Linked DNA regions of Styela clava. The protein of the gene in region 2 purifies or fractionates together with the protein of the main gene of each other region. This does not show direct contact. Links are inferred from orthologs where the notes say so. Each region holds a gene or a part of one and is shown on either strand. Other genes may lie near its edges. The genes, in order: DNA-directed RNA polymerase III subunit RPC10-like; DNA-directed RNA polymerase III subunit RPC8-like; DNA-directed RNA polymerases I, II, and III subunit RPABC5.

The links.
Region 1: the proteins of DNA-directed RNA polymerase III subunit RPC8-like (region 2) and DNA-directed RNA polymerase III subunit RPC10-like purify together in Homo sapiens (affinity purification with mass spectrometry; 3 studies listed by BioGRID and IntAct, with this or other methods). This does not show direct contact. The link is inferred for Styela clava from reciprocal best matches to the Homo sapiens genes POLR3H and POLR3K.
Region 3: the proteins of DNA-directed RNA polymerase III subunit RPC8-like (region 2) and DNA-directed RNA polymerases I, II, and III subunit RPABC5 purify together in Homo sapiens (affinity purification with mass spectrometry; 4 studies listed by BioGRID and IntAct, with this or other methods). This does not show direct contact. The link is inferred for Styela clava from reciprocal best matches to the Homo sapiens genes POLR3H and POLR2L.

The regions. Positions count from the first base shown.
Region 1 is NC_135259.1:10,998,902-11,007,668, reverse strand, and holds DNA-directed RNA polymerase III subunit RPC10-like, read right to left. Parts: upstream 4,236-8,767; 5' UTR 4,083-4,235; coding exon 4,018-4,082; intron 3,434-4,017; coding exon 3,339-3,433; intron 2,355-3,338; coding exon 2,188-2,354; 3' UTR 1,043-2,187; downstream 1-1,042. UniProt on the Homo sapiens protein: Core component of RNA polymerase III (Pol III) which synthesizes small non-coding RNAs using the four ribonucleoside triphosphates as substrates. Can mediate Pol I proofreading of the nascent RNA transcript.
Region 2 is NC_135263.1:3,399,469-3,408,235, forward strand, and holds the start of DNA-directed RNA polymerase III subunit RPC8-like, read right to left. Parts: upstream 5,217-8,767; 5' UTR 5,214-5,216; coding exon 5,085-5,213; intron 4,343-5,084; coding exon 4,246-4,342; intron 2,734-4,245; coding exon 2,647-2,733; intron 1,875-2,646; coding exon 1,795-1,874; intron 1,244-1,794; coding exon 1,052-1,243; intron 289-1,051; coding exon 235-288; 3' UTR 1-234.
Region 3 is NC_135252.1:12,673,676-12,681,412, reverse strand, and holds DNA-directed RNA polymerases I, II, and III subunit RPABC5, read left to right. Parts: upstream 1-4,658; 5' UTR 4,659-4,723; coding exon 4,724-4,927; 3' UTR 4,928-5,391; downstream 5,392-7,737. Other genes in the region: transmembrane protein 256 homolog, read left to right, coding at 5,392-5,736; nucleoporin NUP35-like, read left to right, coding at 5,994-6,006, 6,438-6,562, 6,804-6,946. UniProt on the Homo sapiens protein: DNA-dependent RNA polymerase catalyzes the transcription of DNA into RNA using the four ribonucleoside triphosphates as substrates.

The DNA.
Region 1 (8,767 bases), on a different chromosome or scaffold from region 2:
TTACTGCAATAAAATTAAAACTTTTAGTAAGACAGAGTGATCATTGCATTATCTGATTTATATTTAAATTTCCGAAACACAACTGAAAACTAACGAATAGCGTTCAAAAACTCGAAAACAAGGTAATGTTTACGTCGTTACGACCATGCTTAAAAACCTCTCTGAGTGAGAAAAGTGTCTAAGCGGAAAGGGAGCATGGTTACGTCACTTTTTGCATCTTGCTGATTGACCAATGTCACGAAGTAAACAAAGAAGTCAATGCTCGGGGAAAGGTCCATTATCTTTGTCGACTACATACTTTTATCCCGAGGGCACGCCTGGAAATTTCCACCTGCATCGCTTTCATATTATTTCTGAACTGCTAGCTGCAGAACTATCTATCACATATATTATAATACCAGACATCATATTTTCTGGTAGCATTTTCCACGAGACCTTTGCTATATAGTTTGGGTGGCGTAGGTACTATGTACCAACATATGATTACGCCCATTAAACAATCGGCTTTCTTCCCCTCCGGAATTAACATGAAAAATACAAAGTGGTAAGTAACAGGGGGAGAGGCAGTGTGTTACCAAATGATTTTGCCGCCAAATACCTGTCGAATGTGTGCTATCAGCAGCTGCGTGGCTATAAAACAATTCTTGCAATGCGTGACCGTAGCAAGCTGCGACAAACCGTTCCCCTGTTTCTGGGACCGGATCATGCTATTAGAGGCCTTAAGCACTTACGATTTTAGAGTCCTACATATATATATATATATAATAATAATGAAGCTGGTTATTATCTATGACATGTTATCTGAAATTGAACAAGCGAGCTATGCTCAAATATGTGGACACGTAGCGTCACATAATTTAGATTAGATCATAGCAAAAAATAAAAGTAATAGCCTTCTGGAAAATAATTCCATCTTTAAACCACTGAAAATTTCAAAGCAATCGGTCCAGTATTCAAAGAGAAAAGCGATTTCTTCAAAACGTGTCAATGAACAAGAACAACACAAGAGAGCAATTCTCAAATGTATGGACACGCAGACAATTCTCCAAAAATCATATGGGTGACTTATCAGTACCTGTATTGGGGTACCGTGACGGTACAAGGACTGTCATGGATATTTTAGGTCCTGTGACAATGATTCATTCTTCTTGATTATATTGAAACATCAATTGAAATATCTAGTGCTATAAGTCAATTATGTAATGTATCAGGTACCACAGCCAAACATTTCACATAAAAACGTTACTAAATAACATGCGTCAACTTAACACCACCTGAATTAGGGTACAACTTTCGGTACAGTGACTGTCATAGCTGTTTAGGGCTGATGGACAACCAGACTACACGGACCAGATAAAATATGTTATCGCAAGCACTACAGATGATATGCAGCAAATTGTGCGTATGATGATGTACCTTTATATTCATTCTGAAACTGCGTAGAGGGCACACGCCATCTTTTTCTGATGAAATGTAAGGTAATCAATGATAGGTATGGTCAATCAGTTTTCTATTCCACTAAAATAAATGCATATCCTTGGGATTCTATTACATATCTTGAAAACAACCAATCGACTGCAATGGAAAGGAATCAATAACAGATCAAATTTGACGATTTACCACGATCGATCGTATATAAATCATAATCAAAACAAGATAAAATTGAAAACCTTACCACGCATGTTTGTATCAGCAGAATAGCAGGTTGTTATCGCTAGGGCCATGTCACACCTTTTGTGGGCCCTTAGCACTTATGATTTTGGTCTCTAATATATATAAAAAATATTAATTACGAAAGTTGCGTTCTATGTTATCTGAATGAAGTAACTATCTGTTTTTATTACTAATTGCGGACTTTCATTACAAAAAGTGATAGAGAGATTCAAGATGATATTTGAGAATTTTTCAATCAGAACCTCACCCAAGCTGGTAGTAGTGTCCATACCAAACTGGAAACCTTACAGTATGGAAACTGTGAATCCTTCTACTCTAATACAAGTTTCGTGATGCATGAAGGTGTATTATAAAAAGCTTGTAACTTATTAATGAATTTGAGCATTGTGAAGAATTCAGATTCTTATTTTCACACATTGACATCCACTTAGTAATCATTTTCCAATTTCTGCTCTAATATCATTCCCTCCCGACTCAAGATGATCCATATCGTTTTGTGCTACATTGACCAAATCAGTCCCTCCAACGATGACCACATTCAATCTTACAACATTTATAAAAAGTTGTCATTGGCTCATCTGCTGATCGAGTTTGAATTTGCATGAAGAATGCCCTTTTGTGTTCACATTTTGGACAAGTCTCTTCTGTTGAATCAACATTCTCCCATGCAGCAGATCCACCTGGAAAACCAAAGAGATGTGAATGACTGAATTTAAAATAAAAAATATACAATGAGATTTGCAACATCGAAAACCGAATGAAAAGCTGCAAAATAAAGGGGATTCAAAAGTATTATTTGTGAGTACACAGGATGGGAATTTCATATTTATCCGAAGGGAGAGGAAAGGAAAGTGGATGATTGATTAATAAAATGGCGTACCACGACCTCTGATTTGATTATCAGTTTGTCGGGTATGGGATTGGCTAGCTAAGTTACCAGATGTTTCAGATGCATGGCCATGATGGTGCAAGGAGGCCATGACTGACCAGTGGTTACATGAACCACCCACGGGCAGCGTGGTGTCTAGAAGACCTATCTCATGTAAATACTTTCCCCGCTTACGTTGGATTCGAATAACTTTGGGACTAACATCATAAAATGAATCTGATTAATCTTTCAAACTCTAATATTCAGAATCACTAAGTATATGAATGGTAATAAAACCCATCTCAAAAATATTAATACTTTAAAAAAGACACTTGGAAATTTTAGAGACAAATCTGACAAAAGACATTATATTGAAAAAGACACCATGAGAACTAGTGTGATCTCATAAAAAATTTTGTGAGATTACGTTTGGTCTACAGATATAGACATTCATACCTATCTACATAATGAGGTTATTAGCGAAGATGAAATACATAAATATTCACTATTGAATGATTCCAATCTCTGGAAAAAATGCATTACAAATATGTTCAAACAAAGCAATCACGGCCACTGTATTAATAGATACCCAACACATTTCAGATCACTATATCAAATATGGTTAATTGATTAGCTGTTTACAAAACTGGCTTGAGCTATGGATAGGATACCACATATGATTATTCACTTCGGATTGATATGAAGTTTCTTACCCTATTACGCATACACTCTAGGACTTTTAGTGAACTTCGAAATAATCATAAGAAATTTTTACATTAGTAGTTGGTACACTTACCTAACACATCATCCACCTCCTTTAACTTTGGATATTTCCTTGCGCTTATTCTTCTATTAATATTATGAATGAATGGGCAAGTTGGGCAAGCAAACCTGAAACCAAAAAAATATTGTGAAAATGCAAACAGCACGAGAGGGCTGGTTCACTGAACACCGCCAAGTATATCCAGTTGGCATGGCATAACTATTTTCGCATATGTCATTTCTAACCCCCACCTGACTACGTCATCCAAAAATTACGTCATTCCTTTTTATCCAAATTATTATATTTCATACTGGCAAATATCATATCAAAAAGTTTTCTGTAAAGCGAATTATGTTCGGTTTTAGCCATCCCTGGTATTAGATCAGATTCAAAACACAATACTGCCAATAACTTGGTATGATGTGAACTCAACTTAATAACAACATTTCAAAACATCACATTTTTGCTTCAAGTCTCAAATTATATCCAAAATTGTGACATTCCAGTACAGAATATGAATAATTCAATTGAAAGGTCAGTAAACCAATAGAAGCAAAAAAATTCTATTTCAGTATTTTTAATCGACAAGCTATAATTCCAGCATCCAAAAGTTACTGAGTTACCTATCAGTAGTTGTAATACAGTAATAGGAATAAATGCAAAAATGTGGATTTCAAAATATAATTAGAAATCTATTGATAAAGTGCAGTACCTGTAACATCTAGTCCCCTCCTCGACTGTTAACAAATTCCCGCAAGTAGGGCAGAACAACAACATTGCCAAATGATGAGAACCCTAATAGCAAAGTTGAATCAGATAGTTAGATCAGAACATGCCTATTGTAAATATGTTTTACAAGGTTAAAGCAAATGTTGAAATTGAAATGTCTGTAAAGTGAATGAGGTAGTACAGTAGTGGGAATTCAAAAAAATAAAAATTAAAGCATTTGTTTCACAGCTCCAGTACAGCCCAACGATTAACATACCGTACAGCCGGTGTGCTACAGCATTATGATGATTATGTGACAATTTTTTTGTGGCATCGGAAAATCATTTTGAGGTTTGACAATCGGTTCCCACGCGGAATATTCTTATTTTCAATAATACTGTATTTCTTTTGAGAAAATGGATCCCACCTAAAATTGAATTTTTCGAAAAAAAATATTAGACTTATACATCATATAAAGTGCGTGATTAAAAAGACCAAACACACTTTACGTCGTTGCGTAAATGCTAGATGTTCGATCCCGGTCGCCATGATAAGGACGAGGATAAGGATAAGGATAAGGATGCTTATTGTTATTTGCTCATGCTTATTGTATTATGTACTTGTATCGGAAATAAATCATTATCTATCTATCGACCTTAAACTTTCCAGTGCGGCACTTTCAAGTTGTTTTCATACTAAAATGTCTCGTGGTATTTTCTCTTATCGTAACTTTAGATCCAAATATTCCCCGATCATAGCCGATATTGTTTTGATAGCTCTTGTACGCTTAGGAGTTAATGTGAAATTGTTTTGTTTACATCACTTTTCTATTTGCGCGTAGGATGGGATTTTAATGAATAAGGTCTATTCATGGTTAACTGAATGGTCTATATAGGTAACTTTAAATTAAATTACTTTCGTTAGGGTTCATTAACCTGAACTCACTTGCAACAATGATTGTTGTTATTTTTCGCTGGTTATATATATTTTTTTATATTTAAGCAGTATTTCTTGACTTCTCACGATTTTTTCTATTTTAAACTATGTTGCCGTTCCAAATGGAGAAATTTGAAATCATCAAATCGAATGAAAATGTTTTTCGTTAATTGTGATTTTTATTATAATTAATTAAATTATCAGTGGTTGACGCCATGAATTTAAGATCCACAGAAAACTTTTGATGTATATATTTTAGTCGTTGCTATTTTAAAATCGCAATTCAGCCGAGATATAAACGATTGATAATTCCATCCAAAGTTACCCGATTTTACGGTACGTGAACCACCACACGGCGGCGAGAAGCCCAGCAATCCTCTCGCACAAAACTATCCCTTCATCCTCACGGGATTCGAACCCACGCAGAGTAATCAGAGATGCGGTCACAAATTTCAACTGTTACGTCATCGTTGACTTTTTGCTGATTGGTCATTGTTACGGAAATCGATGCCCTCGGCCTCGTCCAGTTTAGAGATGTATCGGTATCGGCTAAATGTAGACCGATATTTTCGATATATTCAGCTTTTTAATCCGATTCAAAATGTCTTAAAATTAGTTGTAATACGGATGTTGAAATTATTATTTTTTTGCGTGTAGGGATCATGTCCGCGGTAATTCGTTAACTCTGGCTATGCTCGTTCACACCCACACAAGTAGAAAAGGGAATAGGAATTCGACCTGTTTTAGCTATTTATCAACCAAACTAGCTCAACTAATTTGGCTATTTTCGCTGCCAAAGTTTTACAATGACATTTTCAATATTACATGCAAATTAAGTAGAAATATATCAATCAATATTAGTGGATTTTTCAATGTGTAAAATGCGAAATAAGATGTTATATTGGCACAGAATCCAACGCACGCAACTCGATGTATCAGTTTTATAGGATGAGTAAACATTTATTCATGCTACCATCAATAGTAGCCAAACCTACCAGTTTTCTAATTGAACACCGAGATTACTCGCGTCAGTGCACAATGCATCCGAATACCTATTTTTCGAACTGAAATATTGTGCATTATGAATAATGCTCACACACCATCGTTTTAACCAGTCTGCCATTCACACTTAATAGTAATAACTACCTGGTTCCGGTATCAGACTATTGGCTTTTTGAAATATCGGTATCAGTGCACCTCTAGTCCAGTTACCAATCCATGTCGGTTAGGGTTGTTAGGTGGACCACCCACCCCACGGCGTACCCTCCCACATAATTATCCCCACAGGATTCGAACTTGCGAACCGATGCAGGGTAATCAGAGGTGCTGTGGCGAGTGTATTCCTAACGCTCAGCAGAATACGCCACACCAGTTTGCTGATAACGGGTGAGAAAGAGTTCCATTCACCTTAAATATCTCAGAACAACAAAATGAAAATAGACAACGTTCGTATTTGTACCATGTTGCAAAACTTTTGTACTATTTTAAAATGTGTATCGATGATGATAAAATTGGCAATGTTACATAGATAAAAATTACAGAATTCTGATTTTTTAACATGGCATAAAAAAATAATTTTGAAATGGCTATTTCGACAAAAGATATAGACACCATCAAAATTGGACATAACTGGTAAAAGACCACAGATGATGGATATAACCAATCATAATTTCTTTACCATAACAAGTTTGGATAACAATATATCGATACCGTATGACCACTTCTGAAATAGGGCAATCTCACAGAGGGAACACTACATTGGGTAACATCCCCCAGCAAATTTGAATACATTTTCAATACAGTCATGTCAAATTTGATGGTTGTAAGATTCCTTTTGTTGAAATAACACAAGGAGATAATTCATTGATTTATATCATAATTAGTATATTTAGTTGATATATATTACAGAAATAAGCTAAGCAATTCATGAAAATTCATTAGAATAGGCAGAAGTAAAAAAATGATATATTGAAAAAGGAGCAATGAAATACCACACGTCATGACAAAAATTTCGTTTGATTTATGATATATATTTTTTTGATACTAAAATAATTTTTTCTCTTATTTTTGGAATAAAACTGAATAGACAATAGTAGATATAGTTTTATTAAGTCTGAATTAACCCATAATGCCACATATTCAACAAATATTGATTATATAAATAAACTTTCGTAGTTTGTGATACAATATGGAAAACAGTTTTTAATCAATTCAATACTGTCCAACCAAAAAAAATTTGAGAAATATAAAATGTTTAAGTAATCAAGAGCGTATAATGTATACGAAATATTTCATAGATAGGACAGAACACTTTGCTGTTCTGTTCATCAGAATAGGACAAAAATTTATTCTCTGTATTTTGCCTAACAGTAACAATTCAAGTCCAGTAACCAAACTAATACTAAAAATACACCAAAAAAAAATTATAAAAACAGTCCAAAATTGATGAAAATGCACATCCAATCAAAGACTTTTAGACTTGACTGGAAAAATCTTCTAATGAGCTTGATGGCCTTTATGTGTTTGAATTATAAAGTATGTTTATATCATGTCATGCCTTGACCATAAAATATAATGTATCAATGTTTACAAAAAAAAAAGAATATGATCATTTTGCAAACAAATGTCCTAGGTCATGTTGTCATTTAATAACCGAATACACGCTAAAAACTAGACTAAAATCTGAACTGAATGCATTTATTCTTATACCTTTTGGTTGTTTTATGAGATAAATGGAAGGGGACTTGTCTTAGTCATAAACATACCAAACAAAATACAAATGTGGAATGGTGTCTAGGACAATGCAAGCGTCCAAAAAAGACTAATCCTGTTCACAAAATTGAAAATTATAAGTCGAACCTAAACACTTTTTTGTTTGATTCAATTGAACACTTGTTATTCCAAAAATCTAAAATGTACTAGTGCATTAGGTGCGAGTGGTGGACTATAATTGAATGGTGCACAATTCTTAACATGGTAAGAAAGCCAAGTTGTTTGTATATCACTCTTTCATTGATTACATCAATTTCCCAACCAATCGGAATGCAATTGCGCAATTTTGGTCGTTAAATGGAACAGATGAAAGAAAGCGATGTAATATTACTACAAATAGAAAAAGCCAAAAATGCTAAAAAATGACTTAATTGATAGAAAAAAAAGTATTATATTATTATCAGTACTAGACTTAATAATAATATTAGCAAAATAAAAAAGCATACATGATTTGTTAGCATATCGAAATCAGTAAAATTTTAAGTATCAGTAATATGCAAAGTAAAAATTGAAACAAAAAAAAAAAAAATTAAACTTTTTATTGTAAACATTATCAGTAACATCTTCATATCATGCTTGTACCATACCAAAAATAGTGTATTATCAGCTAGATAGATCTCAGCTGTAACATAGAATGCTCTCATACGGTTTCGATTTTAAAAAATTTCATGACAGAAAAATGCAAATTTGATAATATGAACTACTTACTACTCTGCTTAATATCAACAATATGCCTTGAGTGTGCATGATAATTAGATAAAATAACAAGTACACATATTTTTCAATGACTCGTAGATAAAAATAATGTTAAGTACTGTAAAAGTTCTGTAACTTTGGTTTCAAATGCAATAGTGTTACTCTTCATATATAAAAACAAAGCACCATATTTTTTCGTACCATAGTCACGCAAATAATTTTCTAAAAATTCATCATACCGATAAAAATTTAACTTTATTGTGCATTATATATCTATTCATGCATGATCAAGCATGAGTCAATAAAGTAAAATGGCATTTTAACACGGACCGTCTATGACCCACACTTGA
Region 2 (8,767 bases):
GCTTAGTTTTTGTTCTATTTTTACAATACAAAGATCTAACAAAAAGCTTGTGCGATTCGAACAACCCATGTCATAAGATCGATACCCAAACTACTAGAAAGCCTATGTTAAATATAGCCGCTGCCCCCGGATTTCACACAAGCACAGCCTGGGTGTATGGATGTCCTCGTAACTTTCAACATGGCAGCTTTCACACTGCATCTTCAGAATTCGATTTCTCTCAGCTTTAATTCCTCAGCCATTGTTCCACCATGATAATAAACCAAGACCGGAATCAGTAATTGAAGCCTGAAAATATGAGAGCAGAATATTAAAAATTTTAATCTCTCAGAAGTAAAAAATTATTAAAACGAACATTTTGATATCACTGTTGCAGTTGCGAATAAAATATATTTCACTCCAGAGAATATCGCCGTTGGGCATGTGCCCCTTTTCAGAACGCAAAACAATCCCTCCATAAACACCAGTTATTGAAAATTTTTAGCATGTCGTTAAGTTCGCCCAAAATCATGTACGATCGATCAACCAACCATGACGCCGGAAGTGTTGGTCGACCCCTACCAGTTACCACCTAACCCCGGGTTTCCTAAACGAGTTTGGGCGCTCCAAAAGTATGTGTACCAATACGGCGGTAACTAATTTTGTTCGCCTACTTCACACATCGATTTGTGTAAAGGGACTGGAACCTATGGGTATATTCACTTGGCTAACACAGACAGTCCTCGAACTTGTAATAGAACTAAAATAAGGAAAATCCGAATAAAATTATGGCCTGACCCTAACCTGGTACACATACTTCGGGAGTATCAGAGTTTGCTTGTCACAACTTGCTCCTAGAATTGATAAATTGTAAAGCAACCTCATCCTCACAGTAATGTCATTTGTGTTGTTGTGTTGCAAATGAAACGCTATCCTTCCTCGTTTGTTAGGCAAATAAATTGATACGGAGCGAGAGTAGAGGGGTCAGTCAAAAATACTATTCACTAACAGGGGTCTGTGACCCAAAAAGTTTGGGGAACCCCTAAGTTTGGGGAACCCCTATCTAACCCACCTCAATTGAATAAGGAGTCTTGCTCTTCGTTTCCTCGACTGAAGTTTCCGCTGTTGCGGGGTCACTAGATGGCACAGAACTCGGTGTTGTATCAACAAATGTTTCTTCCATGACACGAAACCGAATCTCCTCCCCAATGTCCATAAATAACTCGTGAGTGCCATCTTCTGTCTCGTATTCCCAAACCCAAACCTGAAGAAAATTGTTATTATACAAACACACATCTAGCTTATTTATAAGACATGGCCAATTTCAATATAAATATAAAAAAATAAATCATACAGAATGAAGTTGTTGATGATGGCTAATAATGCCTCGTTGAATAATGTCCCTAATAATTGATTGTGCTATCTGTCTGTTGTTAACGCGTCGCAGTTGCGTCACTCGCTAATTTATTCTGTTGCTTAAGCACCTATGTTGTGTGTTATGTTGGTGTAATAAAAAAATAAGACTAATCCCAACAAATTTCATGAGCTATTTTTAGCTAAAACCTCAAAATTTGGTTTCAGTTCGGTTGTTGCAGCATCAGACAGGACAGATTGAAGTACCCATGGGTCGTAGTTTACCCATGTTACCCAGGGTTAGTGGCTAACGCGATCATTCCAGGGTTGACACACCCCAATCAAGATCTGTACAATCACAGATATGAAGTCGCTATAGTGAACTTTTCAAAATTCTTGTGCAATAAGTAAAAACCTTCATGCTTAAATGTATTGTTCATGTTAGAATAAATGCGCTCCTACCTGTTCTGCTTCATCAAATTTTGAAGGTTGTTGCAAATTTTCTGGCGGAATGAGAACGTCGTCAAAGAATCCCATCGTAACTGAAATAATACAAGTAATACTGTTGAGCAGGGGCATATCCAGGGGGCTGGTTTTGGGGGTCAAACCCCCCCCCCCCCCTTTTGAAATGTAAAAAAAGTAATAGCATGTTTCTGTATCATACATAGCAATTTGTCGTAGCTTGAAACGCTCTTTAGACCCTCAAGATTCATGAAAACACACGTTTTCTGTCGTTCTGACGAATCCGCTAGTTGTTTCGATCTAACTTAGCAAATATAAATTCCAGAACCCCCAGCTCGGAAATTTTTTGCTACGCCCCTGCTGTTGAGTATATTTCATTTCTGAGTCATTGAATTAGCAAATTTCCTCACAAAAAGCTTAAAATGTGGACTCTCTAATGACTCCATCACCAACAACCTCCGCTAGTATAATATAATATTCATCATATAAAACCTAACAAAGCAATACCCCGGATACCGTTACTGCATTTAGTGCCGCTGTGACTTTAGAATGCTGTTCCTATGGTTACGGTGCTTAATAATGTGCTCAGAATTTTTATTTTTGTATGTATTCGTTTTGCTTTTTGTTATGCTGTAATCTTTATTTCATGATATAATGTTTGACTCTATTCTCTCTAATATATTAATTACTGTTAGACTTTACAATGCCCGTTAACCAGTTTCGGTTTCTCGCGCCACCTTTCACCCTGGAATGCCATATTCAAGTTTGTTCATTAGACTGTTCGAATAAAGTATATTTTCTTAATGGTTAAAAAATAAATAGTGATTACTGAAACGTAATGTTTAAACTTACCGCAGACACCATCTCTGCTGCAACCTTTAATTTTTCCGATCAAAACTTCGTCTACGAATGGTCGAAACACAACATATCGAAAGCGAACTGAAATGAGAAAGAAAATGTGCAGGTCAGAAAAAACTTCCAGTTTGTTGAAGGCATTTAGTGGCAGTGCTCAAGACATTGACTTACTGATTATCACCTCTCGCTGATAATGTGAAATATTCGGGCCCTGAGCTGGGTACTCCCGTAGTATGTTTACCAGGCTAGGGTTAGGCCCCAATTTTATTCCGATTTTGGGTTTCAGTCCCTGTCCATACATTGATATAAAATAGGCGAACGAAATTAGTTACCTCCATATTGGTAACACACTTCTGGAGTACCCTGAGCTGAGTACCAAGTAAGGTGTATCATTAAAATTGAATGAATCATGGTCAGTTCAAGTTTAGTTTTATTTTTAAAGCATGGAGGAATGTTAAAATCAATACAAAGCCTCATATTCATTACAAAATGTGTCAACATTTAGTTTTTATGAATGTGAACAGCAATGGTATAATCATCGGCTTTTGGGCCCAGATCAGGCATGGTTGGTCAATAGATCATTCAAAACTGATTTTTGAAGGATATACACAAAAGAATTTAACTTTACCAAATGCAATTATAATAGTAGAAAGCACTTTAGGATATTATTTTGGTACTCCAGAAGTATGTGAACCAAGATGGCGGACACCGGAACACAGTATGTGTACCAGGTTAGGGTTAGGCCATAATTTTATTCCAATTTTCCTATTTTAGTTCTATTACAAGTTCAGGGACTAGCCAAGTGACTCCCATAGTCTTTGTACCTGAAGTTATGGCCTAACACTTTAGGATATTATTTTGGTATCCCGAAGTATGTAGACCAAGATGGTGGACACCGGAACGTAGTATGTGTACCAGACAGTACCAGGTTAGGGTTAGGCCATAATTTTATTCCAATTTTCCTTATTTTAGTTCTATTACAAGTTCAGGGGCTAGCCAAGTTACTCCCATAGCATTTGTACCTGAAGGTATGGTCTAACCCTAACCTGGTACACATACTATGTTCCGGTCTGCGCCATCTTGGTTACATACTTCGGGAGTACCTTGATTTGTAGGCATCTTATTCGTCCCTTTCCCCTCGTCACCACCTACTTTGGACCCACCTGTGACCGCTTGCCTCAAGGGTGTTTGGACAAGGTCTTGAATGCCCCAGCAAGTCATTCAGTGAACATAGGCAAGAAATTCTAAAATCTTATTTAAATTCGCATTGTGTAATCAGCACAGGAATGGTCAGCCGCCACTAAGCATGATGGATTAAATGTTGAATCATACAATTGGTACCTAAGAAATAGTATAAGGGTGTCCATAAAGTCGTGAATTTTTTTTTTTAAATTGCAAAGGGGATTTATCTATGCCATGTATTGTTTTGGCCCTCACAGATGTATTGAATGAAGTAAAAATACTTGAACAAATACAGAATGAAAAACAACAAACCTGGCTAAGATATATTGGGAACTGACTTCATAACAAAATTGAAATTGTAAAGAGACTTTATGGACACACTGTATATTGAATTGCATCTGCTTTTTACAATACCTTTAGTATGGGCAGCTCCATCCCCAGGAAAAATATAAGAGTCTTCAAGTTTTAGAATATCGAATAGACAGATGCACAGGCCAACATTATACACAACCTATAATAAAATAAAGAAAATTTATGTTTTATGTGGTGCGCTCACTCAAAAAAATCTCTACATAAGCAGCAATTGAATGTAAGATACTGCTATGTATTTTGATAGAATACAATCTTTCCAGAATGCATACGACCCACCAAATTCATTCCCATCTACACACTTTTCAATGCACAAATAACACCAGTCTGAATTCTTAAAAAAAATTGCTTTCCGATGATACTAATGTTGAACCTATTAGAACTCGCTTTTTATTGACCCCTTGATGACCCTGCTCACATCATGTACAGAATGATTATGCGAAAGGAGATTACTTAACTTCTCGCTGCCATGGTTGATGTCATGTAATTGACCAGGTTTCTACACATTATAAGTTATATAGGATATCCATAAAGTTCCTTTACAATTTCAATTTTGTTATAAAGTCAGTTCTCAATATACCTTAACCAGGTTTGTTGTTTTTTTAATTAGTATTTGTAAGTTTTTTTACCTTATCTAATACATCTGTGAGGTCCAAAACAATATATGGTATCAATAAATTCCCTTTGCAACTTAAAGACCTAATGGACGCCCTATAGGCCTACATTTCAATTCATACATAGAGTCCATACATTTAAAACAAATAATCAGTAAACTATTCCCAAACCAGACATGTACTAGTAACTGTACCGGATACCGTGTCATGTCATATGATTGAGCCGTCTTATCTACCAAGATAAACCAACAGAAAACCTAGGTAACTCACCTTATTAGCGAGCTTCTTATTCAATTCCACTGATATTGCATCAAGTTGATTCACATTGAATAACCAAGGCTGGATCTTAACTGTATCCGTCATTTCAATCACAAAAAACATTTTGTCATCACTAGTCATACATGGGTTAATCTAGGCTTCTGAGTAAATAGACACCATTAATTGACTTAACCTCGCAATAAAATCAATCAAGCATGACCCGACAGAATTTATTAAACTTCACTAAAGTTTATTATATTCTGGCCAATTATGCTTGATTGAACAAGAGGTGTTGTGAAACTTTTTTATTCAGCAAACTGGGTATAATTACACAAGAGTAAAATATGGATGTGGGACTAAATTTTACTAGCAATCAAGTGTGACCTGACAGAATTTGTTGAACTTTACTGAGGTTTAGAATATTCCGACAAATTAGGCTTGATTGAACACAGGGGCTTACGGTGAGTCTAATTAGAATTATTTTCATTGAACAATATGGATATGATAACACAAAGAGTAAAATATGAATGTATTAGTCTGGCTTTAACTAGCAATCAAGTGTGACCTGACAGAATTTATTAAACTTCACCAAGGTTGAGATATTCTGGCAAATTATGCTTGATTGAACTGGGGGGAATTGAGTTCAAATTGGACTATTATTTTATTCAGCAAAAAGTAAACTATGAATATGCGAATCTAAATTCAACTACGATAAGTTTACCAGTATCTCCATTACACTTGCTCAGAACAGGTTGTTAAAATCAGTTAGTAGAATCAGCAAGTCGACCGGTAGGATTTAGAAAACCAACATCCAAAAAAAGGGTTAATTTGGTGCTCCAGAAGTATGCGCACCAAGATGTCTCACCACCTGAATCCTAACCAGTACACACATACTGTGTTCAGGTTGTGCGCCATCTTGGTGTGCATACTTCTGGAGGTCCTCTTAATATACAGGGTGTTTGAAAATTTTGCCCGATTCTATAACAATTGTAAGTTCAAATAAATTTTATTGTATGATAAATAAGAACTACAAGAACAATATTAGGAAACGGAATGAAGAAATTTCCAAATGTTATTACTATGAAATTGAGCGAATTTTTTTGGACAATCTGTATAATCGGTTCTATCTGTGAGGGGGCGCTGTTACAGATTTAGAGATACAAAATCGTATTTATAACATGGAAAAGTTTAAATTAGGGGTGTGCAACGTGTGGCCCGCGGACCAAATGCGACCCACAAATAAAAATTGTGCGCCTGCGGAGAAATGCCAATTTCAAATGGTGTGCGGCCCACGTAGCGAATTTCTAATTTAGTCTAATCTGGTACGTGCACGTAATGTCAAACCCGCTGTGTTCAATCCAATTTACTACCTATGCCTATGATGCTACAATGCCCTAACAGCAAGCTTTTGCGAAGCGCGCAACGCTTGTCATAAGATCAATGCCCAAAATTTTTAACCCACCTGGATAAAAGGTTGCACACCCCTGGTTTAAATCATTATGTAGAATAAAAATTATTGTATGAAAAATGTGGCAACAAATCTTAAAAAAACATCTGAACATCCATTGTTGGCAAAATTCCTAATTAAGTGCACTGATTGACAGAATCATTGGCGATGGTAGACAGATTAGTCAGAAAAATAACAAAATTTAACTCAGTACAATCTTTATACGAGTGAAATAAATGAAAGTAGTTCATTGGAACTTGCGATAGGATTTTGCATATTTATCCTGGAGGAAAAACGTTACCACCCCAAATTTTTAGGACTGTTGACTTTTGTTACATTCTCTTAGGCTAGAACTGAAATGCGCAAACTGCGACCCGCGGGCCAACAAATCTGCCCGGTTGGGTAATTCAATCTGGCCCGCCTGATGTTGTGTTGTGTCAATTCGTGTTGGGGAAATTACTGAATGGATGGTACCAGAATTTTAACCATACAGCCAGAGATGGCCAATAGCATATTTCACTATTCCGAAAACATTCTTAAAAAATATTTTTGAATATGGAATATCAAAGACATTCTAAATTGGAGGAAGTTGAAAAATCATACGGTTGATCACATCTGAAATTACATAAATATGAAGATCATTGTTTTTCTGTGTTGTTCGTTATCAGTCAAAATATGACACGCTTTGATCTGCCTGTCTGAGAGCTTGAAATCTCCAAATATTCTTTATTTATTTCCATATTCAAATTTTTTTTATATCAAATAATTAAATTGCATGTATTCGAATATTCGATTAGTTTTGTTGGACATCCCTGCATATAGTGATCATGGCTTATGCAGGACACTCACCCATTGTGAACATGGAATAGCTCTGTAAGAGGTATTTATAATGTGTGATTGATACTATAATAAAATATGTAGAAATATAGAAAAAGTGCTTTGTGACATAATTCAGTAATCAAAAAATAATTTGACACGATTTGTATCATATCAAAAAAACGGTGCTCCCGAAGTATGCGAACCAAGATGGCGGACATCGGAACGTAACATGGGTAACAGGTTAGAGTTAGGCGATAATTTTTTTCCAATTTTCCTTATTTTAGTCCTATTATTAGTTTGAAGACTAGCCAAGAGCCTCCCGTAGTATTTATACCTAAAATTATGGCCTAACCCTAACCTAGTACACATATTACATTCCGATGTCCGTCATCTTGGTTCGCATACTTCGGGAGCCCCAAAAAAACATACTTGATTAGGCATAAAATATCAAATACGATCAAAAATAATTATTGTAAACCAGTGGTTCTCAAACTTTCAAAGCCACTTCTTGGAATTAGTCAAGTCTCCCGCACCACCTAAAAAATAACGACCGGTAGCCAACAATAAGCTACGAAGAACAATTAGTAAGAAATAGGAAGTATGTTTTATAAAAAAAACACATTGAAAATACATGGATGGGGCGAAATTATCCAAAATAAAGGAATGTAAATATCCAATATAAGGTGGGCAGATCAAATCTAACAAATCTTTTTATTTTTAATAATCTTCATTTCCCTTGTGAGGGGCGCCCTATCGTCTCAGAACCACTGCTGTTAACTTTATGTATGATTATAATTCAAACAGAAAATAGGGAAAATGAGGAAAATTAGTATGCATTGCACAAAAGTTACGTTCTCTCTATAATATGTCCTGATGATCTGGGTTCTGTTTTTCGGGTCAACTTGTACATAAGAATATTATAATTTCAAAAAAATCAGCATTGCCAATAGCCAACTACTTGCTGTAGCAGTATATGCATATGGTGACACCAGTGCAAAAGTATAAAAGAAGCATATTTATTTCGGCCACACTTTGTAAAACTGGGCCTTCGGACCACCTAGAGCGCCATGGAGCTTGTCTCTGGGGGCCGCAAGCAAAGACATACACTAGGTACCAATTCTTTGACTGGAAAGTCACAAGTGTCCATAAAAGGGGGAAGCGTATCATTTAGGTTTAAGAACCACTTTTTCAGTCAAACTTGTGGAAAGGATGATCTGATTCAGGCCTTCACAAACTTTTGAAATCCCGACCCATTGCTATAAATTAAATTTTACGCAACCCCATGTCGCACGCTTCTTGGATCTCACAATCAAAGTTGATATTGTCATGGTGCCACTTCCCTGATCATATGTATTCTCCTGAAATCGTTAGATTTATGTTTCACACTAGTTTTAATAATCGTGTTTCAAATCAAAAGTCTAAAAATGTA
Region 3 (7,737 bases), on a different chromosome or scaffold from region 2:
TAATCTGCTACGGAGTCAAACAACTTTGAAAATCTTACTAATTCTCAAATAAAACTGAATTGTCCTCCCAGTCATGGCATTTATTGACGCCAGTCTGTGCGGCTTAGGGCTTAAAGGTAAAATAGGGGTATAAAGAGCTGGATATTTTAAATCCATGGATTTTGTTCCGTATTGGCGACGACAATCCTTCTTAACTTATGCTTGTATTTGCTATATATACTTCAAGTTGCCGTATTCCCTGGCTAATAAGTCGCTTTTCTAGGCCCAATTTTTCAGCTCGATTTCAGGGAGGCCGTCTTATTGGGCAGGTAAGCTTATTTTATTTTTCTGTGGTCCGCTTATTTTCTTCTCAAACATGATTTGAATTAACGTTATATTTGGATTGATATATTTCAATATGTAGGCTACTCGTTGACGCCAAAGGGTCTGCCAATCATGATATTTAACAGCGATCGCTGGTAAAGGTAAGATCGGGCCCCAAAATAAACCCGACCCGAGCCCGACTGATTAACTGGATTTGCAGGTCCGACCCGGGCCCGTGGGTATTAAACCTGAACCGAGTCCGACTAATTAACTGGATTTGCAGACACTTTTCTCGCTCAAGACAGATTTTCGAGCGTGGTCGTAAACATACCGCGTTTTTGAACTTTATTCGTTAGTTTTCAGTTGTGTTTCGGAAATATAAATCAGATAATTCAAATATCACTTTGTCTTCTTAGGAGTTTTAATTTAATTGCAGCAATAAAAAATTAGTGTAGAAAAAGCTGTCATAGACTTGGCTTAAATTCTTTGCAGGTACTTTTGAAAACAAAATGTTGTATGCAATGAATTATAATGATGGTTTGAAACAAATACCCCATTTTACTCGAAACCACTCTCAAAATAAAATAAGTCCCGAAAATTTTGCAATGCTAAAGTATAGGAAGAATATTTTCGAGGGTCAAAAGTCGGGGAAAAGTCCGTTACAGCTTCTTCTCTGTTTCATTCAAATTATTTCTTTTATAACAAGTATTCCTTAGTATCCACACATAGTTAGTCAGATAACTGAGGCCTACACGCGCCACAATATCGCATTGAGAGAATACCTTGACGCAACATTCAAGCGTAACGAGAGAACTGTGTAACATAAATAAACAAAGACGAAAAAAGCGTGAGCGAACTATATTAAGTGACCTATGTGTTACAGGCAAAAATTTCACTGGGGTGAATTAACTGTCATTATGGGCGACCTGTTTATGATGTGCTATTTAAATTACTTAATGGACTAAAGAAGGAGGGCGCAGCGCGCCGGGCGAATTCCGACATTCTTCCGGCGCAACGACCGTGGTGCATCCATCAAACCCTAGTATATATTTACGATCAAACTCATAATCAAACATCCACTTTTTATACTCAAATCTTTTCCTTACATTTCCCCTTGCGGGTAGCGTAGCGACCGTCCCCCGGGTGTCCTATTTATTAGTGTAGAATACAGTGCAATAAGGCTTGGTCTCATCGTTAGTCTCATGAATTTGTTAGTGTGCAGCAAGACTCCTAGATCACTTAGGATTGTTATCTCTACTCTTGCTACAGCATCCTTGCAATATATGCATACGGATCCACCGGCACAAAAGCATAGAAGAAGGATAAGTAGTCTTGCAGAAACCAAATAATCAGCGTATATTATTATTTGATATTATTAAGTTAACTATGAAAATACGGTAACTGGGGCTGAGAGTGAAATTAACCGGTTATCCACAGCGTGGCGCTAAAGATTATATAAACTGTTTCTTTAAAAAGTGGGATGAAGGAGTAACGGTACGGGTATTGATTTAATAGTGCAAATTTAATAGTGCAATCCTCCCATAATTGTTGGTATTATTGAAAGCTCAGATATGCAGGTAGATGTGTCTGTTCCGATGTAGGTATTTACATGCATTGGGGCAGTGTCATTTGGGTGCATATCTGAGTAGAGTATGAGTCCCCTCCCCGATATTCGTTCACGTCACATTTACGATCACAACCTTTCAGCACCCTGTTTTGGCCAAACTAGAAATAGTGATAGATTCCCGCTCGGTATACATAATCCATACCTACTCGCCTACCTACAGCTCGCTTCGCGTCAAATTTCGTCCAAAAATGAGATTTTTCTGGGTCAAAACGCCACTAGTGGTCGAAAATGACCAATTTTAGAGCACGAAACCTCTTTTTCTATTTCAGGAAGAACGGAAGCATATGTGGAGGTTAAAATAAAGATAGAGCCGTGAAAATTGGAGGGGAGGGAGAAATTTCATCCACTTCTTCCTTTTAGTGTTCAGCTTTTTAGTGACTTCAACCACATCAACACCCGTCGGGAGAAATTTCATCCACTTCTTCCTTTTAGTGTTCAGCTTTTTAGTGACTTCAACCACATCAACACCCGTCGGGAGAAATTTCATCCACTTCTTCCTTTTAGTGTTCAGCTTTTTAGTGACTTCAACCACATCAACACCCGTCGGGAGAAATTTCATCCACTTCTTCCTTTTAGTGTTCAGCTTTTTAGTGACTTCAACCACATAAACACCAGTCGGAAGAAATTTCATCTACTTCTTCCTTTCAGTGTTCAGCTTTTTAGTGACTTCAACTATCTCATTATTCGTCGGAAGAAATTTCATCCACTTCTTTCTTTTAGTGTTCAGCTTTTTAGTGACTTCAACCACCTCATTATTCGTCGGAAGAAATTTCATCCACTTCTTCCTTTTAGTGTTCAGCTTTTTAGTGGTTTCAGCCACCTCGGAAGAAATTTCTTCCACTGCCTCGTTTTAGTGTTCAGCCTTTTAGTGTTTTCCAATTTTTCACCTTCGGGAACACCTCAACTTCCGTTTTTCCTCCACCTCATCCGTTTCTTCTTTCAGCCTTTCAGTGTTGTCCCAAATATACGTTGTTGATCGCAATTGCCCCACTGACATGGTGAAAGTAGAGGCGGTATAAAGGGTTTTCCGGTCACGGTACCGGCATGATTTTAAGGGAAGTGATTGAGATGGATTTGTAGAGTATGTTAATGATAAAATGAAGTGTTTTCTGTGAATACAAAGCATATTAGAAGCATTTTGGTAAAAATGATCGCATAACGGGGAGGGGACTCTATGTGTATTAAATTTAAAATTTTTTGTTAAAAAAAAAAGAAACGGGTACCGTATTAATTACCAAATATACAGATATATGAGTAATTTCAATACTTTTTCAGGGCAAACATCGGAATATACAGATTTTGCATGATTGAATTTACATATTTTTTTGTAAAAACAAAAACTATTGTGACTGGCGAATAGGTGTCGAATTTTGCAAGTGACTGATTTTTCTCGATAAAAGTTGGTATTTTTTCACCATATTTTTCAAAGATTTTTTTTGTCAGAACTTGCTATACTTTTCTTTTTTAATGAAATTCTTTATTCTATGACAATTTTATCATTTTTAATAATACAAAGAGTAATACTATTTGACAATCTACGGTCGATCAACTCGCCTTTTACATTTATTTGACATTGAATATTAGGGGTAAAATATCGCGGATCAATTGAAGAATTCTCACTGATAGGACGTGTCAAATTCAGCAAGTGCATAAATAAACTGAGTCAAATAAACTTATACTACACTTTTTGATTTTCGCAATGGGGCTTGCCTGTTTTTTTCCACTGTGATTTTGTTTTTGTAACATACAGACATAGTTTCAATCCTAGCGTTTTATAGGTTGTTTCACTATTGCAGCCTGTGTTCAAATTCTAATTTTGAATGATGCAAAGAGACTCACTTGCTGTATTTGAATTGAATTAACATTTTAATGTCAGTTTCTACGACTGGAAGTCTGTATGAATTCTAATTCAGTCTTATAATTGAATTACTCAAATTTAGATTCTGATCTTATTTTTTTGGTCGAGCAACAAATATTGTACATTTGAAAAAAAAATGAAAATGAGATAAATTTAGCGAAAAACATACAATATTTTAACTGCATTGGACTAGTGGCTGCGAAAGACTATCAGTGTAAGAGAGAGGCTACCATTTTTCATCATACTATTTTAAAAGCCAATTATAAATTGTTTTATGGTACTAAGTTGTTAGAATTCTTGTTTTTGTTGTTAAATACCGGACTAGTTCTGTAGTTGCTTTAAAATTTGTATGCATTTATCTGTATTCAATTTGTTTTTTAAAGTAAACATTAAGCAATGTATGTATGTTTACTCGTCTCGTAAAAGCAATATAGCCTAAAATGATTAGTAATTATAAATACTGAAGACTGGATGTATGCACTTTTGCTTTTGATATGTATAAATTCTGAAATTGTAATACGGTAAATCAAATTTGTATAATATGGACTTTATACAGACAGTTGTGCAAGGAGGGTGGGTGTGTGTGATACCAGGGTGGAGTATACAAAACTGTTTACAAAATTAGGTTTTTAGAAAAAGCCTGAAACTTGACAAGTGCCTGGTGTTTTCATTAAGTATTCAGAATTGCCATGTTTTACTATTTAAATATCAATTATACATTATTGAATTGAAAGGAATATTGCGATATAGAAGGTGCAATTTTATTCAATGTCTAATAAAACTCAAACCCCAATAAACTACGAAAAAAATGAAAAAATAAATCTTAAAAGTGATTGAATTCGCAAGTGCCTGTTTTTAGAGAGACCTGTTTTTGAATTTTGTCCTATGATTTATTCAGATTAACTTTATAACTACAGATCCATTTAAAAGTAGGCATGATTATTCCTATAAGATGTTTCACATGTGGAAAAGTAGTTGGAAATAAATGGGAAGCTTATCTCGGACTTTTGCAAGCTGAATACACTGAAGGAGATGCGTTAGATGCCCTTGGACTGAAACGATATTGTTGTCGTCGCATGTTACTGGCTCATGTTGATCTTATCGAAAAACTTTTGAATTACGCTCCACTTGAAAAATAATTTGAATTAGCTCAACTTCATAAAAATTGTAAAGTATGGACAAAGATGTTTGAATTTTGGAATACGAAACTGTGAAATTATAGGTCAGCTTTCAATCCGGACAATGGTGAATCATTGCAATATCTGAATATTCTACTGTTTATATGAAACCTGAGGTATCAGATCAATGTAACTGATGTCTAAATGATGTTAGAAACCTATTGTATAATATTTGTTGCAGAGCATAAAACTGGCATGATCATATTCGTTATTTTTTAATATACGGCAGCATTGTATGTTATAACTTTTCATTTGTGAAGTTATTGCGAATTGTAAGCACCTATTTGTCATATTTTGTCTCAAGATAAGTGTGAGTTTCTGTGTGCTTATTTCATATGGACTTTTATTTACAGAAACTGTGTCATAATGTGTTCCACTAAATTGTGAATAATCTGGGAGGTTGAAAAAAGTGTTTTTTTCCTTAGATGGCTTCTTATTATGGTCGATTGTTTGTTAGAATTGCTGGAATATCTGGTGCTTCTGCAGTAGGATTAGCAGCATACGGAGCACATGGTATACATAAAGAAGATGAGCACAGAAAACTTATATTTGATAATGCAAATCGACAACATTTCTTTCATACTCTTGCTCTTCTGGCAGTGAGCCGATGCAAATATCCATTACTAACTGGAGCGATACTGACTACAGGAATGCTTGTGTTTTGTGGAAGTTGTTATTACCAATCAATAACAGGAGACAGTTCAATTCGACCCATAACACCATACGGAGGAATTTTGTTAATCGTGGGATGGCTGTCTATGGTGCTCTGACATTGGCTGTGTTACAAACACTATCTGTTATATTTTGCAGAATTTACCTTTTTAACATGTAAAATGCAACATATTTTGGGATTCAATCCATTTATGACAGTCGATCATTATTAATAATGTTTGAAATTAAATCTTTTCAATCATATGTTGTCCTAATTACTTTTTGTCTTGTATTTGTATTGTAGGTTTTATTAAATAATTTTTCTTTATATAAAAGCTGACAGGGTAGACATTGACTTTTATTAAGTATAAATAACATGGACAATCAAGGTAAAGCTATCTTTTTTTTTCAAATGCAATTTGTATCATTCTAAATAGTATAGAGAAACATTCACAATGAATAATAATAACATGTTATTATATTTTATCCCTTTAATTTTTTTTTTAAAAAGTATGACGGTAATCGCCGCCCATTGCTGAGCTTTTTGATTGTATGCACTATGCATATTATTAAAATAGTGTACGTTAAAGAGTACTCCTGTAGTTAGGGCTAGGCCCTAATTTTATTCAGATTTCCCATATTTCAGTTCTATTACGAGATTGGGGACTGTCTGTGTTAGCCAAGTGAATATACCCCCTTCACATTGGTTTCAGTCCGTTTACACAACTTGATGTAAAGTGGGTGAATAAAATTAGTTACCTCCAAATTGGTACACACACTTTTGGAGCGTTCATTAAAGTACTTATTGATTTTACCACAGAACCAATGATGTTGGGGTCTCCTGTTGGCCACCATCCATCACCATCAACAAGTGGCTTACATCACCAGCATGGTGGGAGTCAATTTTTACCTGGATATCTGATGGGCGACCCTTCAGTGACCACAGTGAGCTATAAATTTATATCTATAAGCCTATGCTTATCTCTTATCAGATAACATTTCTCATTTTCGTTCCGATTTAGGCTTCGAAATTTTTTAAACCTCTTTCAGAGTTCAGTAGGCGCTGATGTTTTGGGTCGAAGGACGGTTTTTAAATGAGGAAAGAAACCATTCCTGGAATCCTTCAAAGTCACTGTAGTAAATTCTCTAACTTTTTGTAAAATTTATCTTACGTTTCTTTATTCAGACACCGGTATTAAACAGATCAATGAGTGGAGGCCACGCACATCATCCCTATATGAACTCTCCATCATTTGGAGGTTTTACTCCTAGATCTTCACCACCTAGTGCTACAATGTCACCGGGAAATAAGTTTGGCCATCTTATAAGGTTTGAGAATGTCAGATTTACTCTTTTACTACTTACTTGTTGGCCTGGGGATTGAAGTGTTATGGCAGGTTAATCTCCTGGGCAGTGTTCACTATTAGCGCACTTTTTTGCGAAAATTGCGAAGCACTTTCGCAACTTTTTTTAGGGACTGCGAAATAGCACTTTTTTCCGATTTTGAAGAGAAATAGCACTTTTTTCCGATTTTGAATGGAATAAAAATTCAAAGTTAACAAATTATTAAGAGTATTAAGTTGACAAATAAGTAACATACTAGTACTTTTGTAACTCAATTCTGCATATCATAACGATATTTACCGGAATTCTAACCTATGAGATGCAGACATAGGAGATAAAGCTTTTGCATTAACGGCAAAATTCTTGTTTATAATATGATTATTATACAAGCACACCGATTCCGCTTCTCCCGCAAAAACGCTCCACGTCTTTGAAACCAGATGTTGGAATACTACCAGTGCCTTTCTTTGAACAAAAGTGGTCATGTGACTATCAATGATATCGTTGAATTCAAAATGACTATAAAAGTGTTAGTAAAGCGTTATAGTCACTTTGGATGTATTGTGACCAAAGTGCACGATTTTCAAATCAGACGAAACTTTTAGCAGCATGTCACAGATTTGCAAAATCACCAAATTCACAAAATACCATTAAGTGCCATTTTATTGTAATCACAATGTTGAAAGCACGTGGCATTTTGCGATATTTACACAACTATTTCTCATTGATATGCGAGTACGGGTGGGCAAAATTCAATATTTCATTGAATTGAATAT